3 linked regions of the Coturnix japonica genome follow. The protein of the gene in region 1 purifies or fractionates together with the protein of each later gene. This does not show direct contact. Links are inferred from orthologs where the notes say so. Each region holds a gene or a part of one and is shown in the gene's direction. Other genes may lie near its edges. The genes, in order: TMEM259, ERLIN2 and SRPRB.

Region 1 (5,119 bases):
GCAGCCTTTTATTTTGAATACAGCAATGTTAATTCCATCATTAACATCTGGCTGAGAGCAGAAATCAAACACAGATTGATCTGAGTGTTTTACGACCTCTCTGAATAAGCTCGGGTGGCCTTTCCTGGTGGTTGGGTTGTGTTGGCAGCGGATCAGTTGACAAAAACCCATCTGTGGATTGGCAGTTTTCTTCCAGGCAATGCTTTGAAATGAGGGAGAATTCAGTAGGGACTGAGTGGCAGTTGACCTGCTCTGTAGCTGTGCTGAATGCTGCTGGAGCTTGGAAGGAAATGCTGTGCCCTTATGCACACAGAGGCAAGGCAGGAGGCACTTTGCACGTGGTTTTGTGCAAGTCAGCACTTCTTTGACCCTAGGCAGTGTATGTATTAACATGGCAGTGTGCCTCCTGGGTGGCAGCCAGCTGCACTCAGCCCCAGCACGGTGTGTTAATGGAGGAGTTTTGGTCAAAGGCACTTTGGGAGCTCTCATTCCCAGGAAAAGCTTTAGGGCTCTTAGTGTTTAACCTCAGAAAGACGAGGTTTCAGCAGGTTAGCGAGGTGTCAGAAGGACAAAGTACAAAGGGAGTGTTATATAAGCACTGGAGCTGGAAGAAAAGTTGATTTGGGGGCTGTTCTGCTGTTTGATGCAAATACAGTTAGGGTTAGAAAGCTTAAAGGCTCTCATCCACCTGCAGCTGTAGTATCTGCATGAAGAAGGGATGGCTGAAACTGGGCAGCCTATCGACGGGCAATGTTTGGTTGGGCTGACAATCTCTGCTTTGTTTCTTGCTGTTTGTAGGCTCTCTTTGTGCTCTTCATCCTGGCGTACATTCACATCGCCTTCTCCCGTTCACCCATCAACTGTTTGGAGCATGTGAGGGACAAATGGCCGCGTGATGGCATCCTGAGGGTGGAAATCCAGCGCAACTCCAGCCGGGCCCCCATCTTCCTGCAGTTCTGTGGTGCTGAGAAGTTCCCAGGAATGGTAGTTGAGCCCACGGCTGAGGAGGAGGAGGAGGAAGAAGAAGAAATGACAGTGGATATGTTTGAAAACAGCTCTATCAAGGTAAAAATGTGTTTCCTTGCGTGCACGAGGGGAGGGGAGAGTGGGTTTGGGCTGGTGCATATGCTGTGAGTGTGCTGTGGTCCCTCCGTGTGCGCTCAGTCACTCAGAATCTGTGTGTGTTCCCTCAGTTTTTCCTGCATTTCTTCCAACATCTTAAGGTAGAAGTTAAAGCCTGAGCAAACAGCCTTGTTTATATCCTCCTGTTGGCGGCCCAGGGCACAGAGGGAGCACAGGAGCCTGGAACTGACCTGGCTTCTAACCTGACCTCCTCTGCCACTGTTCCCCAACAGTTTGAGCTGGATATAGAGCCCAAGGTGTTCCTCAAGCCATCCCGGATGAGCAGCACCGAGGCGCTGGCCCACAACGAAAGCCAGGAGTTCTCATTTAGTGAAGCAGCCACTAAAGGTATGCAGCCTCTGCGGGAGACTGTGTCCGAGTTTGAGATGCTAGCCAGAGCAGGTAAAGACAACTTACATCCCTATCTATGCTCTTTCCTTTCCCTGCATCTTCCCTGCACTTCTCCTGGCTTCCCTGGGCCTGCACTTGGCATTGTCCCTTGGTTATCCCTGTTGCTTGAACCTGTGGTGAATCTTGTCACTCCTGATACCAGATTTACAGCACTGTGTTTCCTTCTGTTGGAGGGAGGCTGGGATTTGGGTGGGTGCATCTGGGCTATAAAATTTGCTGGAGGTTTCTGGTCTGGCATCATGTTTCTGCAGCAGCCAGTGCCAGGTATGTAAGATGAATGTAAACCTCCTTTTTCTGAGCAGTTCTGCATTTAATATCCTCTTGAGACCCGCAGGGATCCAACTCACAGCTCACATTCCTCACTGTATTAACAGTATTTTGGGTCCCCTGAGTCAACACCAGTGCCTGGAATAGCAAACTAATCCTGAAAGCCACCAAGCAAGTTGGAGTAGATTGCAAGATTGTGTTAATAGTCTGCCTCATTCGAAATATTGTCCTGTTCTATCCTTGTTTCATCATGACTTGAGCTGATTACATTGAGGATTGTGAGCCTGGACATCACAACAGCACTGTTTCTTTGGTCTTGCAGAGTTTTGCTTGATGCAGATCCACAACTCATTAATCCTGTATTTGAGATCATTAAGTCTCTTAAGACTGGGCGATGTTTAAATATCTTTGGTGCAATACCTTAATTAACAATTGCTTAAGCTCTATAAGACAGTCATGTTGTACAATGTTGTGTGTGCTGACAGACTGTGCCTTGATTTGCAGAACACCAAACAGGGAATGATCCAGCAATGTGGTAGGAGAGAGAACTGTGCCCCTTCTTAATGTAGTTAGAAAATCTCATGTTTTCTTTTAATCCAGCTCTTCTGTGCTGTAAGTACACCAAGCTGAACTCTTAGACAGGGTGTGTTACTGTGATAAAATGATCTCTGGTACAAATGAAGTGATTCATGCATTGATACATCCAACGCCTTATTTGCATTTGAGCTTAAATCCATTTCGTAGTGAAAAACTAAAAGCAAAACAAACACCAGAGCCTGTTTTCTTCTTGCTGACTGCCTGTTGAGTCTCCCTTCCCACCTTCTCTTGCAGTGTGGCCACAGGAGGAGTACATTGTGGAGTATTCCTTGGAGTATGGGTTCCTGCGCCTGTCCCAGAGCACGCGGCAGCGCCTCAGCATCCCTGTGATGGTGGTGACTTTGGGTGAGTGAGGGACCCAGCCCTGCCAGAGATGTGTTTGCAGAGATACCTGCGTGCTGGCAGCTCCCTTCCAAACTTCACACTTATCCCATCTCTTTAGTCTTGTGGGAACTGTTTATAACAGTTGATGGCGCTCATTTTCCATGCAGGAGAGCTTTATGGAGCAGTTATTGCTTTAGCAGGTCACACCCTTTTCAAGAGGAGTGCTCTGAAATGCTGGAGCCTATTCTGTTACCTGAGCCTTCACGTTGCGTCTAGCATAGCTTTCTCACTGGAGAAAGAGCCAATATTAAATGCCTGTTTACTGACCTGGGCTTTCCAATTCACCTAGAGAAGTTCCTGCATGAGTAACTTACTGAAAGATTGTTTCTGGGCTTCATGTTTTACTTGGATCTGGGGTATTTTTACAAGCTGATCAGTGTCCAGCAGAATACATATACATGCTTCATGAGTGCCCAGAGCTGTTGGAGGGTGGGTGAGGTTCTGGGCCCCAGCAGCACCATGCAGAGTCCAGCTGGCTGCAGAAACATCTCTACCAGCCTCTGAGCTGCACACAGACTCATTCTGAGAGCTGTTACTAGAGGGAAAGCCCTTTGTTACTGGGGCCGCAGTCCAAGCCCAGGAGATGAATCCCCTGTGTATGTATGGCAGTGGGGAGTATAACAGCCCAGATGGAATTCTTGAAGCCTGACTGGCATCAGCATTTTACCAGCGTGGCTATATTTGTCAGGGTGTGACATTTTGCTTCGCAGTCCTGCCCAGTTCAGTTACACTGCCAAAGGTTTGAGCGTAGTTGCAAGTCTGCTTTAAATGATGGGAAGACTGTGCTCACATTTAAAAAGGATAAAGGTATAACTACTCTGCTCTTCTGTTTTAGATCCTACCAGGGATCAGTGCTTTGGGGACAGGTTCAGTCGTCTGTTGCTTGATGAGTTCCTGGGTTATGATGACATCCTGATGTCAAGTGTCAAAGCCTTAGCTGAAAATGAAGAAAACAAAGGTAAGAGTTGGAGCTCTTTAGTGAGTGCTGCTTTTCCGCAGATGCATGAATGTCATCTTCTGACTTTGATTAATCTCTAACGCAGGGAGCAGCTCGCTGTGTTATGTAGGGCTGTTATTGCTGGGGACAAAATGAAACAGGAGAGAAGAGACATCTGCAGACGTGATTTCCTATGGCCTTATTGCGCTGCATAACAATAAGAGTGCAGCTGTGATGCAGTGCTGGCATAGATCTCAGACATTACAACCTGTTTTTTCAGAGGGCACTGGAAGTTTGCTCTTGTTCTGAGTTACTTACATGGGAATTGTGTGCTTTCTTTTTCCCTTTCTTTGTTCCCAGGTTTCCTTCGCAATGTGGTGTCTGGGGAGCACTATCGCTTTGTCAGCATGTGGATGGCCAGGACATCTTACCTGGCAGCCTTTGTCATCATGGTTATATTTGTAAGTTGGGAGGAGCTGGGCATTCCATGAACTCTGAGCCCAACACACGGGCAAGGTTTGCTGTTAGAGGCCTGAGGTCACAGCTGCTTTAAAGCTAAGCTGATGGAGTTCTGCTCTTCTTTCCCCCCTCCAAGTGTGGGTATTTCGAGTTCTAAAAGCAAAGAGCATATTGTGGCCAGTGAGAGAAGAAATGTGACTTTTCTCAGTGAAGCATTTTGAGCTATTGGGAGGAGCACAGATGCACAATAGGAAGAAACCTCCATTCCAGCTCTGCTGCTGTTTGGTTTGGCCTCTGCTCAAATATTCAGAATCAGCCTCTTTGCAAACAAATTCCTTACTTATAGCAGTGATATGAAGATTAATTGCTGTTTGTGAAATCCTAATTACTCTTAGAGAAATTGGCCCATGTAGCTCAAACTAACAAACATGGGAAATGCACAGAACATTACGAGTCCGAGCTTGCCTGCCTGAGCCTCTGCTGTGTTGTGTTTCTGACAGCGGCTTCTGTTCTCCTGTTTCAGACTCTGTCTGTTTCGATGCTCTTACGCTACTCACACCATCAGATCTTTGTCTTCATTGGTAGGTATTTTCTGTGTCATTTGGGGGCATCACAGTGCTCTGAATGTGGACTGATGTAGGGGTTGGAGGGTTCCTTGGCCTGGTGTTCTCTTTGCATTACACTGTTTTCCTTCTTGCAGTTGACCTATTACAGATGCTGGAAATGAACATGACAATTGCATTCCCTGCAGCTCCCCTGCTCACTGTTATTCTGGCTCTAGTAGGTAAGGACATGCTCACCTCTTGTATTTGTGCTGCAAGTCCCTTTGGGATCTGTAGGAGGTATAATTCCCTTCTCTGACCTGGTCACAGCAGATGGTTGATGTGTCTGCCCTTCACAAGGTGGAAGGCTCTGGGATTTGATGGCACAGTGAGCAGCATT
Region 2 (5,119 bases), on another chromosome or scaffold:
AGGACTTCCATGGGTGCAGTTGCTTTTGGCAACAGGAAGACTGTGGTGTAACAATGTGGATGTGTTCTCTTTTAATTTCAGAGGCAGAAAAAATTGCACAAGTTGCTGAAATAACTTATGGACAGAAAGTGATGGAAAAAGAAACAGAGAAACGGATTTCAGAGATTGAAGGTGAGTGAAAGACTTTCCAATAAGAGAATGTTCTGCAGTGACTTAATCTGAAGAATCTTTAGATCTAAGTTGTTCCTGGTTCTGTTTAGTCTGCATTTTGCTTTTTTGCCCTTTAGCAAAATTTTCTTTAGCAAATAGACTTAACCAGAGGTGGGAACAGGAATGTTTCTTTACAGACTGTGCTTCTTAAAGCTTTTTTGCAAGGGTGATCTCTCTAGGAGGCTGTACTGTTAAATTAAGAAGACATCTCATCCAATACAATGCTTTACCAAGCAAATTCCAGGACGTGAAGAGGTCTGCATTTCCAGCTCAGAGTAGTGAAGCCTTATTTTCGCTTCCATTCATTGTAGGTCCTGTCAGCCTTTGCAGAGGTCCACTGAGGAGCCAATTAAGAGTTTTACAGATCAGTAACTTCTCATTATGAAGTTATTTGTGGAAGCACAATAGGTTTTATTTCTTATAAATGTGTGTCAGGCCTTCAGCTCAGCTCTGTGACTGTGGAGGATTCAGGTCTTCGTTCTTTTTAGTGTCCCTGACTATTATAGTAGTCTAAAGAGGAAGTCTTATGAAAGCCCTCCTGTTTTTAAATGTCGTGGCTCACAGGGCTCCCCACTAATGTAGGTAAACAAACAGGGTTATCCAGCTGTGCAATCCAAACTAGCATATATTACAAATGTGTGGGTTCCTTTTAGAGAAAGAATCTCAACAGATCACATCAAACCAGCCAGATGAAATTCATCTTAGCCTTAACATGATGGCTTGGCATCACGTCGGTGTCATCTGACAGATAAAAAGTCAGAAGCCAAAAAGAGGAATGCAGTACAGAAAAGGGAAATGTTTCTTTCCTTAAATGTCGTTGTTAGGAGCAGGAAAGTTCAGTGTCCTTTGGGATCAGGCCCTTGACACAGACGCTCATACTGCAGCAGAACAGCTCTGCCAACATCTGTCCATGGGGCAGAGCCTATAAAGGTTAAAGCTGCCTGCCCCTGCGTGCCAGAGCTTTAACCTCAGTATCCCAGACAGAATCCCATCTGGGGAATTGCATTAACAGCTACGCACTTCATCTGCAGAACAGACTGCTGTGCAGTTCTTGGAGTCCTGTGCAAATGTTGTGGGTAAATATCACTTTTGCAGCCCAACGGTTGTTTCGTTTGCAGCACAAGAATTAGTGGCTGGCTAGAGAAGAAAGAGCATTCTCTGCCTGTGTGACAGGACAGTAATAAAAACCTTATGTTTATAAAATGCTTTGAGGTCTTCAGTTGCAGATACAATGTATTTAGTATTACATCTAAAATGCAACAGGATGATAAAGGCAGATCCCATTTCTGGGTTCCCAGTTTTGTTCCCTCTTCGCCTCGTTGTATCCCTTACAGTTTAGATGTGGTACTTGCTGCTTTAAAAATCTTCCAGCTGTAAATGGTGCTGACGTGACTGGAAATGAAAATCTGAATATGGGAGCATTTGTTTTCTTCCAGATGCTGCGTTTCTTGCAAGAGAGAAGGCAAGAGCTGATGCTGAATGCTATACTGCTATGAAAATAGCCGAGGCTAACAAGGTATTACTTCCTTATGCTGTGCCTTGTAGCAGAGCTCTTTACATTACTCTGTATAGAACTCAGCAGGAGAGCTGAGTTCTGTCTTGTTTCGGTCAAAAAGCCAAACAAAGACAGAGAAGTTATCTTTGAGACTGAAACAATAATTATATCCTTACTTGCAAATTCACCTTCTGCTCTGAACAGATGAATTTGTGTCAGGGTACGTGAAATATCTGGTTTATGTCTGGAGACAGATCTGCTGGATGCTAATGGGGCCATGACTCCCACTGTAGAAAGAATATCACTTTCAGTGTTGCCCTTTCATGCTGCTGTAATGAGACATGTTGATCCATTTCAGTCTGCAAGCTAGCAAGTAACCAAGGCAAGGAGATCTGCTGAGTGACAGACAGGCTTAAAGTAAACAAGTGTTCAGGTACAGAACAAATAAAGTTGTTTCTGTTCACCAAAGTAATTACCCTGGCAAAGCCTTGTTCCTGCAAAAAAACAGAACCCTAGGGACAGAAATCACATGGATGCAACTTGTTACTGTCTACATCAGGATCGCAGGACATGCCAGCAGGAAGAATTCCTGTGTTGTAAGGGTCAGTAGAAATGGACAGAGGGTCTGAGATGGTTGTGTACAAGTTCTGTTCCAGTTAGAGTTCAGAGCATCTCCATCTCTGTGGTATGTTTGGACTGAACGTTTCCCCACCTACTTCCATTACTTCCTTATTTTACCATTCAGTCACCTGGACTTAGCTTTGCTTAGACTGAAAGAGAGCATTCTTTGAGGTACTCCATCTTTTCTGGAGAGAGGATGAGCATACCCACTAGTGTTCTGGGAAGGTAGATGCCTCCTGTGCTTATGGTAGGAATTTGCTTTTGTCTGAGCTGTTGGTGATCTGTTTTCTTTTCGTGCAGCTGAAGTTAACTCCCGAGTATTTGCAGCTGATGAAATACAAGGCTATTGCAGCAAACAGCAAGATCTATTTTGGCAAAGATATTCCCAACATGTTCATGGACTATGCAGGTAGCCAGAGTAAATTTGCAGAGGGACTTGCAGAAGGAATCCATGAAGAAGATGGGGCAGGACCCAGTGAAGACACAAAAGTGCTTCATAAAACCAACTGAAAAAGAAACATTTATATTTGTTTTATATCAAAAGAAACACGAACTGGGAAGTTCCTTTTTGTTGTTCCCTTTTCCTGTACTGAAAGAGATAAAAGAAAAATTTAATCCTCTCAATCTTTTGTATGACAATTAGACACAGTGAACTTTGGTATTTATGGAATGTTGTTTCTGGTAACTGCTAAGTAATCTGCTCCAGATATGTCTGCTAGATGCACCTCTCCCTTCTAGTGGGCTATAAACCCAGTGATTCCAGAGAGGCTAAGCTAGCTAGGCTATCTGTTCTGCAGCCAGCTTAGATGGTTAATGAGTTTTGAGCTGAGGTTGTTGGTAGCAGTTGGAAGCTTTGAGATTTTGGCAGGAGGGGGGGATTGCTGCTATGACCTTTTTTTTTTCCTAGCTGGAAATTTCTAGTACTTAATTCAAATCCCTTTGAGAAGAAAACATAAAAGGTGCTAGACTTTTTGTACACTACCCATGTCTGCTTGAAGGCATTGCTCAGATGATGGGTCATTGCCTGGGAGCACTGGGACTAACAGCCCGTGGGTAACCCCAGGCCCATCCTCCCTTCAAGGTGTAGCAAATACATGAAACCAGCATTTACTGAGGTCTGAGCAAACGTGTTTTGCCTCAGTAGTGCAGTTGAGACCGCATGCACAGTGAGGTACAGCACTTCAGCTGTTACCCTGGGGGAGTTGTAAGCCTTAGACTGCGTGTCACACAGGTAGTGGCCCAAACTACTCATTTTTTTGCATTTTTAACACTGGTTTCTTTTCCATTTGTTATACTTGAGGAGGGCAGAGGAGAGTTTGTGTTCATCTGCTGGCTGAGGGGCTTAGATGTGCTGGTGGAGGCAGTGCCTGCCAGTGGCTATTTGGACTGGTGCAACCAGGCTGCAAGCATGGTACTTGTTGCAGATGTCATAGACAGAAAAGAAGTAGAGAGAATGCAGTTTTTGTCTCAGGGACCCTTGCAAAAAGCCTTGCTAGTGAGCAACTGCTTGAGTGATTCATCCCACAGTCACTGCAGTACTTCTGCTGTTCTGCAAGACCAATGGGATTTCAGTGTTTGCAGTATTATATTAGGAAGAGGATATTCAGAGAAGCTGAAATGAATGGAACATTGTACCTGGGTGGTTTTATCTGCAACAGACCTTGAGATCTCCTGAGAGCAAAAGACTCAAAGCACCATCTTGGGGGGGAGAAAATCACAGGGCAGATATGACCACCTCTTCTCTCTGGGCTGTTCAAAGAGAAACATTCCTTCTTTGGTCAGAACAGTGAGATGTGATGTACCTTTCATTTCAGACAATGGATTCATTTTTCATTGCTCAGATGCAAATTGGTAATAGGTCTCTTGTTTTACACGTGCAAAACTTGAGGGGGTATTAAAGGCAAAAGTTCAAGGCTAGAGAATTTCTTTTCCCTCTCCCCCAAATCCATCTGCCACTTGGCAGGAGAGCCTGCTTATTAATTGCTGTTATAATTTGCAGCCAATGCATCCCTTATAAGATGATGAAAGCATAAGCACTACGTTGGTCAGGACCAACCTGTTGAATTTACGATCTTATACCCCAAATGCTTGCTGCTTTACTAAGCTTGGTTTCACATTTCAGTGTTTTAAAGATGCATTAATCATTTTAAAGAAGTAATTTACACTAAGAAATCTCATTAATTTCTGCTGCTTGTTCCAGTATTTTTCATTTCAGTTTTATTTTCCCTGTCAGAAGAATTACAGCTGATACTTGAAAACACAGAATAAAAGAGATTGTCAGTTTCTGATGGAGAAAAATCCCATCTCCTTGATGTCATCTTTATATTTGTTGGAAAATCTTAAGCTAAGGAAAGTTCCATCCCCAGACTGACAACACAGTGGTCATAAAGACCACATTGGGGGGTAGGCTGTAATATTGCTTACTCTAAATGTGTCTGTGCAAGAAGATGTTGAACAAAGACCAGCAGAAATGCAGGAGTGAGGTCACAGTATCTAAACCTTTCAGGGTGATCTCATTTGCTTTAGCATTGTTCTGCATTCATGTTAAGGTTTTCCATTAGTAAACTAAAACCTCCTTTTGATGAATGTGTTTTCACTGATGGACCCAGATAAACCAAGTGGTATTATAAAGGATGTTATCGTATGAGTTCACTGTAAAACAATAGCTTGGAAGAAATAGGTCTTATGGATTTTCAATTGAAAACGTTAGTGCTGAAGTATTTCTCAGAGGAAGGGGAAGAAGGATCAGCCAGTATTATTGACTTCAAACTTGCATTTTTAAAGCATTTTGGG
Region 3 (5,694 bases), on another chromosome or scaffold:
AGTGAGCCAGGTAGGGGTTGTGCTGTGTGTGCCCTGGGAGTCAGAGCACTGCCTTGGGGAGGCTTAGGACATGTAGTATGTCTTTGGGACAGAGGGGAACGGGTTTCCTGCTGGATATCAATACGAAATGTATTTCAGTCCCCATCTGCTGACCTGCTTTTTGTGTTACAGAATGATCCTACATGTGTTCTTTTTCTCAGGGCCATTGTGTTTGTGGTGGACAGCGTAGCCTTCCAGCGGGAGGTGAAGGATGTGGCTGAGTTCCTGTACCAGGTCCTGGTTGACAGCACTGTTCTCAAAAATGCACCTGCGCTGCTGATCGCTTGCAATAAACAAGGTATTGGCTGCTGCCCTGCAGGTGGGAGTGGTGATTCGGTCCTCGAATAATTATTAGAGTTAATGCCCTGTGTAGCAGAAATGCTAAGCCATGGCCTGAAGCAGTGATTGAGCACTTGATGGAAGGCAGGGCCAACCCAGGGCAGCTCAGGTGCATGCAGTGTACCTGAGTGGCTGCAAGGGGTGGATCCAGGATGCACCCCTTCCCAGACCTCATTTAAGGGTTGGCAGTGGAGAGGAGGGGGTATCTTGCTGGAGAGGAGCTCCCTGCCTACCTGAGGCCTGCAGATAAGCAGCTTTTTTTTCCTTTGTTTCTGTGTCTATGGCTGCTGCACTGGGGCTTATCTTCACTTGCTGAAGCCTGGGACTTTGCTACCCTGCTGTCATTGCTTTGTTTTTTATCACATTATAGTGTTACACCACACACGGTGAATTTCTTAGGGCTTCAGAATTTCAGGGCTTCAGCAAAATGAAGACAGAAATTTAGTTGTAGACTTGGACTACTCAGCAAGAACATTTCTAGCAGCCTTTGGAAGAATTCGTAGGTCAGATACGTCAAATAGCTTAGGAGAAAAGCACCACTTGAAGAGCTAGAGATCGTTAGACAGGCTTAAGTGGTCAATCCGTACAGCTTTTCCTGCAGAGGTGTGGATCCTTGTAGGACAATTTGAAACTTTCTACCAGTGCCAGGTTTGGTTTTCTAGTTTTTTCTTGCAGTATCATAGGAGCATCTTGGAGCCTTCAAGTTCTAGAAGGCATTGTGGTGAGCTCTGTAATGCCAGGACAGGTGAGCATGCTGGGCCTTGTTTGAAGTGATTTAGTGCCCTGTTTCCAGACTGTGAGAAGAAACTAATCCCCTGCCTTGAATTGGGTTCTGGGGTTGCTCTCATTCATGCCCACAGATCTAAAGCTCTTCTGTACCTTATCCAAACACTTACACCATTGCTGTTGTCTCATTACGTCTTATGACAGCATGATATGATCAAGCCTTGCTGTACCTTTCGGAGTAGGAAGCTAATCTGGACATAATACCAAAGAGCTAATTATTTCCTTTTCTGTTTTCTCTCTAGATGTCACAATGGCAAAGTCTGCAAAACTCATTCAACAGCAGCTGGAGAAAGAGCTGTAAGTGTGAAATTGGATCTTAAATCCTCTGGGCTTCTTCTGTCTTCTCCTTTGTCTCCTGCCCATGTTTAGTGAGTCCTTTAAGTACTTCTGTGCTCAATGAATAAAAGGAGAAGTCTGTTTTGTGTAGGTGTAATCAGGATGAGGGAAGAATGTCCTTGCTAAAGCACTAAGATCTAGTAATGTTCCTGGCTTGACAAAAAAGAAGATGGGTGGTGTATTGCTTCCTTAAAGCTGTAATGTGGAGAATCAGTGCCCCGTGGTTCATTTGTAACTCTTTGGCATCCAAATGAGTGTTCCTGGGATGCGGTTGTCACTAGCCAAATTGACCAGTGGGTGGCAGCAGGGTGATTTGTACTGTTGCTTTTCACTGCTGAGTACCTGACCTTCCCTTCTGCAAGGCAAATTCCATGGTAGAAGTTGCTGTTTGCATCCGTGCCTGATGCAACTTGACTTCCCTAGCTTGGTTTTTGGGACACTAGAAGCAGTCAAACTGCAGTGCCTCAATGCCCTTTTCATGCTGCTGTTTGTTTCAGTGCTGCCTCTAGTTTATACTTTGTGGGAGCAGGATGCCTGAGTGTGAGCAGTGAGGTTTTTCCTCCCTTCATATGGGTGGCGGGTTGCTGAGATGCTGCCACAAGATGAAGGGCAGAAACAGCAGCAGTGCTGCAGCCTGGGGTCCTTGGCCAGGCACTGCTCACTGGAGCACTGGGGAGGCTCGATCCACCTCTCAGTCTCCAGAAGTATTTGGCACGTTAAGGTGGCTATGGGGTGAAGATCTGCATGATCCCTGATGTCCTGGGTGCCTCTTTTCCCAGGTAACCTGTCAAAACAGTGCAGATTTGAGCACTGTGGGCTAAACATCTTTTTAGCTGTAGTCAGACAAGCAGCTCTCACAGTCTGGGTTCATTCCCTACCAATGGAAAGGTGCCTTTGTCTCTTCAGAAGTTCTGCTTCTCTCACCAAACCCACGATCTGTCTTTCTCTTGAATCTCTCTCAGTTGTGCCTTGTAGCAGCTGTTTACAAGTAGGCAAAGTGCCTGTCCCTGCCTGTGCCTCGTGGGTTAGGGATATGGGTATGCCTCTGGGGCCTTCTGTCCCTGGGGTTGCTGATGTCCTGCTGACAGCTGAAACCAAAGCATCTCAGTGCTTATGATGTAGGTGTCATTTTGCTATTTGAGTTCCTGATCTTCTCCTTTCTCTTTCTGCAGTAACACCTTACGAGTGACCCGCTCTGCAGCCCCCACCAGTTTGGATGCCTCAGCCACTGGGGGACCTGCTCAGCTGGGAAAGAAGGGCAAGGACTTCGACTTCTCTCAGCTGCCCATGAAGGTGGAGTTTGTGGAGTGCAGTGCTCGTGGCAGCAAGGGAGAGGAGGGAGATGCTGACTTTGAGGACCTTGAGAAATGGCTGGCCAAGATCGCCTGATCAGAGAAGGGCAGGGTGAGAGGGAGAGACCTGAGGACACGTGGGGGGCCCATCAGGGGAGTGAAAGAAAATAGATGGTTTGAAGTACTCGGATCTTACCAAAGCAGAAAGTGAATGCTGGAAAAGCATTGCATTGTCTTCCTCTGTTTGGGAGCATATAACATTTACTGGTGTGATTTCCTCTCTGTCTCTGTCACACCACCACCTTTTTTCCCCTCTCTCCTCTGCTTTTTTTCCTGCGTTGCTGACCCAATAGGCTTCTGTGTTTCCTTGAAATCTTTTGTATTTTCATCATCCAGCTGCCAATCAACTTAGGAAGGAATACACTGCCAGGTGAGTCTAGAAACTGTAGTCTGTCCTTTTCTGCTTTGTATTAGCATTGCATCGCTGTTTCTTCATGGAGGTGTAGTCCAGTTTTTGTGGAACTGGAGTGGCTTGTTAAATTTCAAAGGCAAGCTGGTTGATCTGCCCTTGTCACTGTGCAGTGCCTGTGTCTGGCTGTGGTGCCCATGTCTCTGGTTGACTCCTTTTGCTGGACAGCTCTTGGGAGTTTTTCTTTCTGTCAGGGCTGTGCCTTGAAAGCTTGTTTCGCTCTATTCTTTCTGTACTTCAGGCTCTTCTCCAACAGACTGTAAACAAGTGAATGGCACTTACAGAATGGTCCTAGCTTGAACCAATGGAAGTGGCATATTTTTGGATTCATATGTATGTTAGGAGTTAGATCTGTCATGACAGACCCTTGCTGTTCTTTTTCCTGCCCGTCTCCTATCCAGTGTCTACCATTAGGAGCCCTTTTTGTGTTATTCATCATAGCAGTTGCAGCAAAATGAAGAGAAAGGTGAGCTTGATAGCACGTTGGTGTGAGCGTGATTCTTCCTTACAAGGAAGATGCTTATTGGAGAAGAACATGAGAGCTTTTCCCAGTATTTGTGGTGGTTGAAGGCAAAGCTGCTGCTGTGTGTGATCTCATCAGGGACTGCTGCCTGTTGCTGTAGCTCTTGGGGAGGCTCAGCTGGGCTGCTTTGAAGCTTGTTGAGACAGTAGTTGGGTCTGATTCAGTATGCCTTAGACCTGAACTTTCCAAAAGTTCCTTTGCTTTCCCTTTTCTTTGCTGTAGCCAGGAACATTGGTTGTGTTGAGGGAGAAATTGCAGCAGCATCTGTGAGACTGTTTCAGTTTGTCCTTTCTGAACTACAGCCTTAAGACACTTGTCAGTTGCCCTGCCCAGCAGCTATGTGCTGTGCTGTGGGATGCTGGCTCTACACAACATCTCTGTGAGGAGGATTACTCTCCAGGATTCGATGCTGGGAACTACAAGGTCCTACTGCATCTAGTTTTATTGGGTTTTGTGTAGTTCTAAGCAAGGAGCAAACTTAGGCTTCTCATGCACCTTTTCTGTCCTTTGTGGGTTTCTCTCTGGTTTAGTGCTTGCTTAATGGCTCATCTGATCTGTTATGCTCCTTTCTGGGCATCATCTGACTCCCTGTTGTACTGCTACATGTTAGTAGTGATGGGGGGAACACAAACAGGCTTCAGCAAAGACCTGTGCTCACAGTGAAGCTCTAAAGATAAGCTGGGAGCTGTGCTGTCCCACATAGGAGAATAGGAGGGGTTATATTTAGGGACTGTGTTACATTTTGATATTTGCTGCAGCCAAAGCATTGCTGAAGTGTGTTTGTTGTGCTTGAACTCCCTTTGCTGCAGAATATTGCTGTTTGCTTGAGTGGTAGTTCTGTTTGCTAAGACCTACCTCCTTCGAAATCAGAGTTGTACACCGCTGTCAGGTGGAATAAAGTAGCATGAGACCCTGTTTGGTTTTAAGTTATTTCTGTAATAAAGCATTTGACTAAAAGTTTCTTCTCAAGTCCTGGTTTGCTCATTCTCTCTTGACCTTTGCCTTGACTCTTCTTAGCGGTGTCAGGGTCTACACTGCTCAGGCTGAGCATCCCCTGCATGGTTCCATTCCTCTCCACCCTATCTTGCTGCAGCTTCCTTCCCTCTCTCCATCTCAACTTCATCACCCAGACCCAGTTCACTCTCCTCCAGCCCCAGCTCTGCTCCTCCAACTCAGCTCCATCTCATCACTGTGGCAGAAGCCCCTTACCTGCCTACAGGATGGAGGTGACCGACACACCACATGGAAAATTGACCTTTATTAAAAAAACACAACAGTAAAACCCATTCCAAAATGTTCTGTACTAAACCACAAGAGACGACTTTTCATGTCCATGCTGACCTGTGCAAAGGGATGGGCTGGGGCAAACAGGGAAGCCCCCAGAACTTGGCAGCAAGTCCTGCTCTTATCCTGCCTGGAATGCACTGGTGAGCAGGACTGTTGCTTGCATCTGTGTATGTGTCCAACTGGAACACAGCCCCCATCTGCCTCCTGCTTCCTGCAAAGCAACGGGTGAGTCTTGGATGACCCATCTGGAGGAGCTGGTCCCTGCTGTGTCCAAGTCTGCATCCAAAGATGGGACCAGTGGGGATTGTCCTTTGTTGGGAGCACAGAGATGTCCTCTCCCCAGTCCAGGTTGTCACGAGAGGATGGAGGAGCTGCTATATTGAAGTTGCTCCATTACAAAAGAACAAGAAATCAACCAAATTCCCCAGAAGTCAAAGTGCTGGTGGTGGGCAAATGAAGTGCAGTCATTCTCTGTGCAGTTACACCAGGCCGGCCGCCTTCTCCTGCACATTGTACTCCTTGCTCCTCTTCACCTTCCAGCCAATGAGCGCAAGGAGGATGGTGCCCACCACTTTGTATCCCACCTGCAGCCCCAGGTATCTGTAAAGAGAAGAGGGGGGAGA

The links.
Region 2: the proteins of TMEM259 (region 1) and ERLIN2 purify together in Homo sapiens (affinity purification with mass spectrometry; 3 studies listed by BioGRID and IntAct, with this or other methods). This does not show direct contact. The link is inferred for Coturnix japonica from reciprocal best matches to the Homo sapiens genes TMEM259 and ERLIN2.
Region 3: the proteins of TMEM259 (region 1) and SRPRB purify together in Homo sapiens (affinity purification with mass spectrometry; 3 studies listed by BioGRID and IntAct, counting the BioPlex papers as one, with this or other methods). This does not show direct contact. The link is inferred for Coturnix japonica from reciprocal best matches to the Homo sapiens genes TMEM259 and SRPRB.

Annotation. Positions count from the first base shown.
Region 1 is NC_029543.1:1,972,493-1,977,611, reverse strand, and holds part of TMEM259 (membralin), read left to right. Parts: intron 1-798; coding exon 799-1,065; intron 1,066-1,355; coding exon 1,356-1,524; intron 1,525-2,631; coding exon 2,632-2,742; intron 2,743-3,616; coding exon 3,617-3,739; intron 3,740-4,078; coding exon 4,079-4,179; intron 4,180-4,700; coding exon 4,701-4,758; intron 4,759-4,877; coding exon 4,878-4,961; intron 4,962-5,119. UniProt on the Homo sapiens protein: May have a role in the ERAD pathway required for clearance of misfolded proteins in the endoplasmic reticulum (ER). Promotes survival of motor neurons, probably by protecting against ER stress.
Region 2 is NC_029537.1:3,559,774-3,564,892, forward strand, and holds part of ERLIN2 (erlin-2), read left to right. Parts: intron 1-81; coding exon 82-171; intron 172-1,646; coding exon 1,647-1,726; intron 1,727-2,626; coding exon 2,627-2,836; 3' UTR 2,837-5,119. UniProt on the Homo sapiens protein: Component of the ERLIN1/ERLIN2 complex which mediates the endoplasmic reticulum-associated degradation (ERAD) of inositol 1,4,5-trisphosphate receptors (IP3Rs) such as ITPR1.
Region 3 is NC_029524.1:3,487,603-3,493,296, reverse strand, and holds the end of SRPRB (signal recognition particle receptor subunit beta), read left to right. Parts: intron 1-200; coding exon 201-337; intron 338-1,406; coding exon 1,407-1,461; intron 1,462-2,672; coding exon 2,673-2,889; 3' UTR 2,890-4,753; downstream 4,754-5,694. Other genes in the region: SLCO2A1 (solute carrier organic anion transporter family member 2A1), read right to left, coding at 5,551-5,671. UniProt on the Homo sapiens protein: Component of the signal recognition particle (SRP) complex receptor (SR). Ensures, in conjunction with the SRP complex, the correct targeting of the nascent secretory proteins to the endoplasmic reticulum membrane system.